2 linked regions of the Oryzias latipes genome follow. The protein of the gene in region 2 binds, or shares a complex with, the protein of the main gene of each other region. Links are inferred from orthologs where the notes say so. Each region holds a gene or a part of one and is shown on either strand. Other genes may lie near its edges.

Region 1 (4,259 bases), on a different chromosome or scaffold from region 2:
AGGGTCTTCCCACTGTGAGAACATGCATTAGTATCCCGTTGTATGAACACCATATGCTAAGCATGTTCAAAAACCTGCAGGCTTTAATGCTCCACATATGCAGCATGTGTACGTAGCTTTAGACACTTGTTTTTGTGAACAGATACATTTCCATGCTGCATATCTTCTTGATTGTCTGATTTTCTCCCTAAATTACATCAAAAATAAAACACCATTAAAGATTAGGGCAGCAGACACTTGACAAAAATTCATCACATCACATTACAAATTGTCATTAAACTACATGTAAATGATCAGCAATATCAGTAAATTATCAGCTTTTATGATCAAAATCTACTCAAAACCAACTTTAAGTTTGAGATTTAAAGTAACTTTTGATGAGAAGTAATTCACTTTACTTCTTGTAACAAAAGTTAAGAGGTTCTTTCCATTGATCTGAAACGGATTTATGCTTTTCCTGATCTAAAAATCTGCCCAGCAAACAGTGTACACCAAAAAAGAACATTTGGTTTTAAAATTCACTTCAGCCCAGTTTAAAGTTTGGCAAATGAAGACGCTATAAATCAAAAGGCTACATTTTTAATACTTGATTAACTGGAAACATTTACAGCATTCCCTCAGTGCAAATGCAGACCAATGAATCCGAGAGCCCCGACTCTGGCTCATTCTTTCAAAACAACAGCATTATGCAATAATGGGAGTGTGTCTGATGCTTCTTCTAATACCTTGTGACTCCATGACAGATGGGGAAGTAAGACAGAAAAGCAGTAACCCAACCACAAAAGAACATGAACAGAATTGAACTAAAGTGCATAAGGGAATTTAGTCAGCAGCACCTTGAGACATTCACAAAATAAATATACATACTTAAAGTGTAATAAATTATGACAGATGCATGTGTTAGTCAAGAAGTTTGTTTTGATTCACTGAAAAGAGCACATCTCTTTGTGCCCCTGTTTTTGTTGTTATGGAAAAGAAATAAATACTCGTTTCCAAAAGAATAGTTTTGAAGGATAATGGAGTTACAGAGGTGTGAAGGTCCTCCAAATAAATATGAGGCTAAAAAGATATGCGAAGAAACAAAAATACAAAGTACAAGCTTAACCCCGGCACCATAAACCGCCTGTCAGGCATGAGTCAGTCAGTGTCAGTGTCTTAGTGCAGCACCATGGAAAAGGTCCCGGGGATATTTCTGTCAGGCCTTTCTGTCCCTCATGGCCTCTTTGTGATGGCAGGTCACGCTCGCCTCCTCTTTTTCTCACTCTCTCTACGCCGGCCTAACCTCGCCTTCTTTTTCCTCTTAGTAGCAACTTTAAGAGGGTCTTCTTTATAGGCCATGGCCTTGTTTGTCTCCTGGGGGAGGTTAGGACCCTCCCTGTCTTCCTTGAACTTCTCAGGGAGGTTCTTGGTTGCCCCCGGGGACTTCTGATGTGGAAAGTTTCCGCTGAAAGTTTGTGTAGGAGTTCTGCTCTGTACGGGTGGTGCGTGCCGATCAGCGGTGTTCACCTCCCCCACCAGCTCATGCAGCCACATGCTCCGTCTGAACTCCTGCATGGATCTGCTTTTGTCGTGCATCAGCTGGACGTGGCTCACTGACCTCCTCCTAACAGAAGACATGCGGACAGATCAGCATGTTTTAAACACAACTAGTGCTGTAAAATTGTATTTTCGCCCAAATAAATGCATCAAGTGTCTCATGTCACTTCTCCAGCATAAGAACTCCACCTAAATATCCGCTTTTCTGCCTAATTTCTTTTAGATTGTTAGTAATAATGTTCTTTTTTTTTATGTTGTTGAAATGTCTTTACACCGCAGTGTTGAGTTGCGGTGTCCTGTAGTTTTAGATGTGGTGGCAGCTGAAATTTAACGTCAGGCTTCAGGAAACCTCAGTACAGTAGGTGGCAGCATAAACATGTCTGAGGCCTGTCACTAATCTGACTTTATGACCAACCTAAGAAAGGGAAAAAAAAATCTTTCCTAAAAATGTCAACGTAAGACAGAGCAGTGCTAAAACAAACAACAGGAATTCTTTAAAAAAAACTTTTATTATCTGGACTTTTGAAAATTCCTCCTTTTTTCTAAATGAGTTTTAGTAAAATTCTTTTCATCAAGTTAAAGTTATTGTAAAATGAACTCACGTTCTGTGATTAAGTGCATCAACTGGTCTCCCATCGAGAGTCACTGGAGGGAACAGCAAGAACACAGCCAGACTCCACTGATGAATCAATACTAAAGAGCACATGCTTGAGCCAAACATCTGAAGAACACAGTGATATCATCAGTCACTTCACTGCTTGATCAAAACTTTATTTCGAATTTTATGCCCAAACGTCTTCCTCCTTATAAGAATCTGCCTGCAGCTTGATTTGTTCTTATTTTACAGTTGTGTCAAAACAATAGTCGCTGAGTAAAACTTGGTGTTTTTAGCAAAAGGTCTATTTGTCATAAAAGCAAAAACTTGAACTTACAGAATGGATTTCTTTATTTTCCCTTTAGATGAAAGCCCACAAAATGTCCAAATCAATAGTCTTCTGTTAATAAAAAAATAGTTACAAAATGATAAAGCTATTCTGCTAAATGCAGTTTGGTCCATTCAGATCTTGTGTCCAGGTCCATTGGTGTAAATACAGCCTTGGGAAATTCCCCATGAGTCTCCTCCATTCATTTGCCTCCCAACAGTGTGTGTTGAGCTATTTATTTCTCCTCGGTGTCCAAATTGAAAGAGGGATAAAGATAGAAGGAGCGCAGCCCATCAGCTGCAGAGCAGCAACTCTGCTCTGCTCTGCCGTGATCTCATGAAGAGTCTGAATGAAGCATCCTCTCTGGGACAGAACGGAGCTGAGGAAATCGGTCCAGCCTGTGTGAGTCGGTCTGAGAAGAGCAACTGAGAGAAAATCCACTTTGGTGAAGATGCAAGCTCTACCTCTGCCCCTATCCAGCGCGAACACCCGGCCCAACCTTCTACCTACCTCCCTCCCCCAACCTTCACACACACCTGCTGTGACTCAAAGGTGGTATCTACGCAAAACACAAATCACCGCTCATGAATAATACCATGAAACAGGCACATTTTGTGTTATATATAAAAATAATTAATGCACTTTCAAAATTAACTCCATTTATGAGAGCGAAAAGCACTACAATTTCAGCCGTGCATTCACTTTGAGTAATCAAAAGTTACCAAGTAAAGCATGAACGGTTTAAGGATAGGGCCAGACTTAGTCCAAGGTAAACAGCCTGGCCTAACCACTTTCCCATGGGAGAATGACCATAACCTCAGAGAAACCCAACCCACAACCCTTCACTGCAGACTATTCAGCTCACCTCCACTCCTCCTCAGCTCACCACCGGATGGTCACAGTGGCTTCTGAGGGATCCCTGGTTCTCAGCTAACAAGAAAATTAGGGAGCTTGGTCCTCAAAGTGCAGTACTCAATCTCCAATTCAGTGTTTGGATCCTAAACAAAACCCTAAATATTCATCATGGTGTTAACGGTGTAACGTTAAAGCTACAACATTTGTATTGGTGCATCTGGGGCCAAACAAGCAGGGAGTGCTGTAGAAACTCACTCCAAAGTTTGGAAGTCAATGGAAAGTAATGACCAAAATGGTTCCACTGATAAAAAGATAAGAAAAATTCTTGTAAAAAGATAAAATAATAAATGAATTACAATTTATTTTTAAAGGGTAAATTGTGACTTCTGAACTGTGGATTCTAAAATCATGAGAAATACCTCTGTATTATTATTTTTGTAGACTTTGCTGATATTTTCTGTGTTTTAACAATAAAAATAAATGTAATTTAATTTTGAGTCATAATCCTTAAAGACCTACTCTGATGAAAATGGTGTTTTGGGGGGGGGGTTAACATTCTTGTAGCATTTTTCTGAAAATTAAGCTTAAAACTGCATTTCTGAGTATTTATTTATTCAACTTGTTGTAAATCAGGAGCAGACAAAAAATACTGTTTGAAAAAGATTGTAGATTTTACGTAGACGTTACAATCAGTGGACCACAAGCTACCTGCTCTGCTCCATTCTGATGCATCTACTTGCAGATGAACAGATCCACATACATATTCGTTTTCCTCGTCTGAGCTGGTATCTGGCTCAAAGCTGTTTGGCTAGATAGCTCCAATAGTTCTCGTTATGTAACCCTTGTGCTCTCCTAGGCACTTTAACATTGGGAGTTGGGTCATCTAGACCCACTAGACAGTGCGCTGAACCTTTTTTTTCAATGATTTGTGAACCTCACTGTGTC
Region 2 (4,597 bases):
GGATTATTATGGTCTGCCGAAGCTGACTAGAGCGGCTCCGTCTGCTGCAGGTCTTTGAACCAGCAGCAGATCCAACATCCCTGCAGGTTCTTCACTGGATCCCAGTTGGAATCCAGTTCTATGCGTTTAGGTTCTACATCAAATCTCTTCTTAGGTTCCACAAACCGTCTGGGGCTCTTAGACCTCCGGGTTTAGCTGCTGTCACTCAAACGTTCAGTAACTCTGGAATGTTGTCCCAGGTTCTGCTGCCTCTGCTGAGGACCGATCAAAGCTGCAGAGGGTCTGAGTGATGCTGTCACTGCCTGGCTGGAAGATCCTCCTGACAGGATCCTGAAGTGGATCGGTTGAGATCTTTCTGGAGGGAACTGAGGAGAATCAAAAAACACTAAGCTCTGAAAATAGAGGAAAAGGTTTCAGACAGCTGTGTGATGAAGAGCAACCATCACCAGACGAATCGCATTTCCTGCAAAAACGCCACGGGGAAGCTCTTCCTGTTTGCTGCCGTCCTCCAGCTGCCTGAGATGACGCGGCTGCAGCAACAAGGCGAATCCCACGCCGCTGCTCCTTCAGGACTGGGGGGTCAGCAGCACCTTCTCGTGGAGTGGAGATGGTGCTTCAGCGCCATCCAGAATATTCTTCCCTGAGTTTGAAGATGAAGCAGTCAAAGACCCGTGAAAATGATGTTTGTGGTGTTTTTCTGATGCTGGACTTTGGATCGGCCTTCCTGACCCTTTCTTTATTCAGATCCTTGTGAATCAGGAGCGGATGACAAAACGTCCTTTGATCAAGCTTTGAGCGGTGACATAGAAGCCTCCAGGCTCCGCCCCCTTCTGCAGACCAACAGATCCATGAAGGTCTCAGTTTTCCTGGTCTGAGCCGGAATCTGGATCTGAACTGGACGGATGGATGGATCTGATGTTGCTGCACCGCTAATGCTAGCTTGGGGGTGTGAGGGGCTGTACGCTAGAGGGGGAGAGTATAAACAAAAGGATGATGGGAAATGAGGGCAGGCTTACTCTGCACCAATAGTCCCACCCACAACCCAGAGGTGAATTTCTGATGAACTCCTGGCACTCTGCAGAAACTAAGTCCAAGAAAACGACCCAGATGTTTGGATTTTGGCTAAAAACAGTAACATCATCGTGAAAAGACTTTAGATCAGAAGAGGATTGGAGCGGGACTTTGACATTTCACAGTGACGGTCATGTTTGTCAACCAAACCTCTAGAAGAATGTGTTCAGAGGATTCTTTGTGTTTCATTGTCCTGCAGAAGGTTTGGCTGTAGACTTCATGTTTCTGACCTCTGACCTCTTCCTGTACTCAGCAGAAGATCTTTACCAACAGTAAAATGTTCAATAAAAGCACAAATCCATCGTGCAGTAACGACGCAGCTGTTGTGCTGCAGTGTCAGAAAAACAGCCTTTCTCCGCTACTTCATCCAGAAATCGCCTCCTGAAAGCTCCCACGCCCCCTGAAGGCAGCACGTCGTGTCTTTACGTCAGTGCGTGATATCCTTCCGCGTGGGTGAAACGCGCGGTCCTTTCCCTCCCGACGATTCAGGATGCGGATGGGCGGCTGCGGAGCTTCGACGCGCTGCTGTTTGCCTCGATCGTAAACATTTCCCCGCATCATCCGAGTCAGAAGCACCGAGCGAACACCGGAGAGCTCCCGCCTTTTCCGCAGCGAACCGAGTTCGCCCCGACGGCACCGACTGAGCACCGTGGAAGAAATATAATCCGCTGCGGCGGTGCGCGGCTACAGAACGTGTGAGAGACGAGAGCGGCGGCGGCGGCATGGAGCTCATTACCATCCTGGAAAAAACGGTCTCTCCGGGTAAGCGCCCACTCGCCCGTCCGCTGTTTGGGCTCCGGTTGGCGGTCCGGGTCTGCAGGAAGGACACCGGGCAGATGCTAGCTGGCAGGGCTAACGGTGCTAAGGCTCCGGCCTGAGTCGGGACTCGTCATTCGTGCGTTGCCGGTGCAGTTGGAACCCCGCCACCAGCAGGTAAAGTCCGGTAAATTTGTGGCCCTCAGCGGCGGGGAAGTTTCCGGTTTGCGGTGGCGAGCAGGAGCGCAGGCTGAAGCCGCAGGACCGGTTACCGGAGCGACCCTGCCCATCCATGCCATGCCGGCGCGGCGGCTGCTTTAGCCGTTAGCTTAATGCTAGCAGCCGCTTCCTTCTCGAGCCTCAGCGTCCTCGCGGGAGCGTTCAGCGGGCGCGTTAGGCTGCCAGCACTTGGCTGTTGAAGGCCGGTTCGGCTGGGTTCGGCGGCTGTCTGGAGAACCAAACGGACTCCTAACGAGCGCCTTTAGCAATGCTAGCATGCTAATCTAGCGCGCTTTACCCGTGGTTCAGACGCAGTCCGTGAACGCATCGTGCTCTGTTTTCAGGTCCGCGGCCCACGTGGGCCACTGATTAGGTGATGGCGGAAATGTCCGGGCCGACCCGGCCCGGGCGTCGGTGCGGCTGCAGGCCGGCCGGCGTTGGCTGACCTCTGCCCTCTCTCCGCAGATCGGAATGAGCTGGAGGCGGCGCAGAAGTTTCTGGAGCAGGCGGCGGTGGAGAACCTGGTAAGTTCGGTCTGCGGGGCGGTGCGGGGCGGCCGGGCGAACGGAGCATCCGTGATCAGCTGGCGCACGCGCACTCACTCAGTGAGCTCTGACGTCTCCCCCAAAGACCTGTGTTTCCCCTAAAGTCCAGTAATCCAGAGGAGGTCCGGAACCCCCTTCTTGATGGTCAGACTAGGATCAATCCCACAATGCTTTGCAGTCACGGGAGTGAAGCCATAAGCACTTCTGCTCTCCGTCCTCCGGTCATGCTAACAGATGTGGGTTTACCTGCTAGCATGACGCGGCATCATGTGACCTTTTTGGAACCAGGAAGTCCCGCCTGTGCCGTTACTGTGATGCTCAGACTGTATGTAATGATGCTGCAAAGCATGATGGGAGAGATTTTGGCTGCAGGCAGAGTCTGGACTAGAACCCTGAAGTGGCTTCGGTCTCAGGACCTCCTTTGGGTTTGGGGGCGGGCCTTCAGGTTTTCGTTCCACGGCGGTCCGAGCCTGAAGGCCCCCCGCTGATGTTCTCGTTCTCTCTCTCTCTCTCTCTCCCCCCCCCAGCCCACCTTCCTGGTGGAGCTCTCCAAGGTGTTGGCAAACCCGGGGAACACGCAGGTGGCCCGGGTGGCCGCGGGCCTGCAGGTGAAGAACTCCCTGACCTCCAAAGATCCTGACGTGAAGACGCAGTACCAGCAGAGATGGCTCGCCATCGACGCCAATGCTCGCCGCGAGATCAAGAACTACGTAAGTGCTGCTGAAGGCGGCTGTCTGAGCGGGGGGCGGAGCTTACCGGGTCCGTGTTTCTCCTGCAGGTCCTCCAAACTCTGGGCACAGAGACGTACCGGCCCAGCTCCGCCTCGCAGTGCGTCGCCGGCATCGCCTGCGCTGAGATCCCGGTCAACCAGTGGCCCGAGCTGATCCCTCAGCTGGTGGCCAACGTGACGGACCCGTCCAGCACCGAGCACATGAAGGAGTCCACGCTGGAGGCCATCGGCTACATCTGCCAGGACATTGTGAGTGACGCGTCCCGTCACGTGGGACCTGCCGGGCCCTCTCCAGGTTCTGGAGGGTTCTGGGCCCCTCCCACTGCTGCATGGCCTCATCGATATCAGACGGCGGTTTGTCCTCCATCCTCTGGTTTCTCTACGTTCCCGGTTCCTCAAAGCAGCAGACGCTTCGGTCGTTGCCGTCTGCGTCCCGGTTCGGGTTCGGACCGATCACGTCAGGAACCTTTGGTTCTTGTGGGATCAGAACCCGTCCTTCAGAGTCTCAGCAGGCGGCCCGATCCGTACGTTTGTCAGAACCTCCAGGATCTCGCTGCAGTTTTTTCTTTAGGGTAGATATTTTTCAGGAAGGAAGAAGAAACTTGAATTTAAGCTCCGCCTCCATGAGACGTCAATAAACAGAGCAGAATGTTTCAGCGTGAAAAGTGACATTTAGCCACAAAGTGGAAGTTTGTTTTCAGTTTTTATTCAAATGTGTCTGTTGGTCATTTGAACTTTGACCTCTGAGGTCTGAAATTCAGCTTCAAGCAGAGATTAATGGATGTCTCAGGTATTGATCACGTGGACTAAACGCTCAGATCAATAAAGAGGATCAATCAAACTGCTGAGGTTCTTCAGCTTCGTAGGGTTAAGCCGGTAGAACCAAGTCGGAGAATCGCTGCGTCCAGAACCGGCGCCGCTGCGTCCAGAACCGGCGCCGCTGCGGCCGATTTAAAATGGTGAATCGAGTTTTTCTGGTTTGAAACCTCAGGAAAGGTTCCAACTCACTGGACTTTCTGGGGTTCTTGGGATGTTCTGGCTCACCTTCTGTGTTCCTCCATTTGACTGGAAGCGGGTCAGAACCCGGCAGGTTCTAACGGCTTCCCGTGTGCTCAGGACCCGGAGCAGCTGCAGGAGAACGGAAACCAGATCCTGACCGCCATCATCCAGGGCATGAGGAAGGAGGAGCCCAGCAACAACGTGAAGCTGGCCGCCACCAACGCGCTTCTCAACTCGCTGGAGTTCACCAAGGCCAACTTTGACAAGGAGGTAGGCG

What was found.
Region 1: the proteins of kpnb1 (region 2) and parathyroid hormone-related protein-like are in contact, whole or in part, in a crystal structure (PDB 1M5N), measured with the Homo sapiens proteins. The link is inferred for Oryzias latipes from reciprocal best matches to the Homo sapiens genes KPNB1 and PTHLH. Residues at the interface, in NP_002256.2 of Homo sapiens: Val55, Tyr104, Pro106, Gln111, Glu152, Tyr156, Gln159, Asn196, Leu199, Asn200, Gln239, Glu274, Gln278, Glu281, Asp288, Ile295, Ser298, Glu299, Asp339, Asp340, Trp342, Val350, Met353, Glu395, Trp430, Arg434, Glu437, Asn469, Trp472; in NP_945316.1 of Homo sapiens: Tyr103, Thr105, Gln106, Glu107, Thr108, Asn109, Lys110, Val111, Glu112, Thr113, Tyr114, Lys120, Thr121, Pro122, Gly123, Lys124, Lys125, Lys126, Lys127, Lys129.

The regions. Positions count from the first base shown.
Region 1 is NC_019864.2:13,447,948-13,452,206, forward strand, and holds parathyroid hormone-related protein-like, read right to left. Parts: upstream 2,923-4,259; 5' UTR 2,469-2,922; intron 2,258-2,468; coding exon 2,139-2,257; intron 1,604-2,138; coding exon 1,237-1,603; 3' UTR 564-1,236; downstream 1-563. UniProt on the Homo sapiens protein: Neuroendocrine peptide which is a critical regulator of cellular and organ growth, development, migration, differentiation and survival and of epithelial calcium ion transport.
Region 2 is NC_019866.2:173,908-178,504, reverse strand, and holds the start of kpnb1 (importin subunit beta-1), read left to right. Parts: upstream 1-1,505; 5' UTR 1,506-1,793; coding exon 1,794-1,833; intron 1,834-2,511; coding exon 2,512-2,570; intron 2,571-3,118; coding exon 3,119-3,301; intron 3,302-3,369; coding exon 3,370-3,570; intron 3,571-4,437; coding exon 4,438-4,590; intron 4,591-4,597.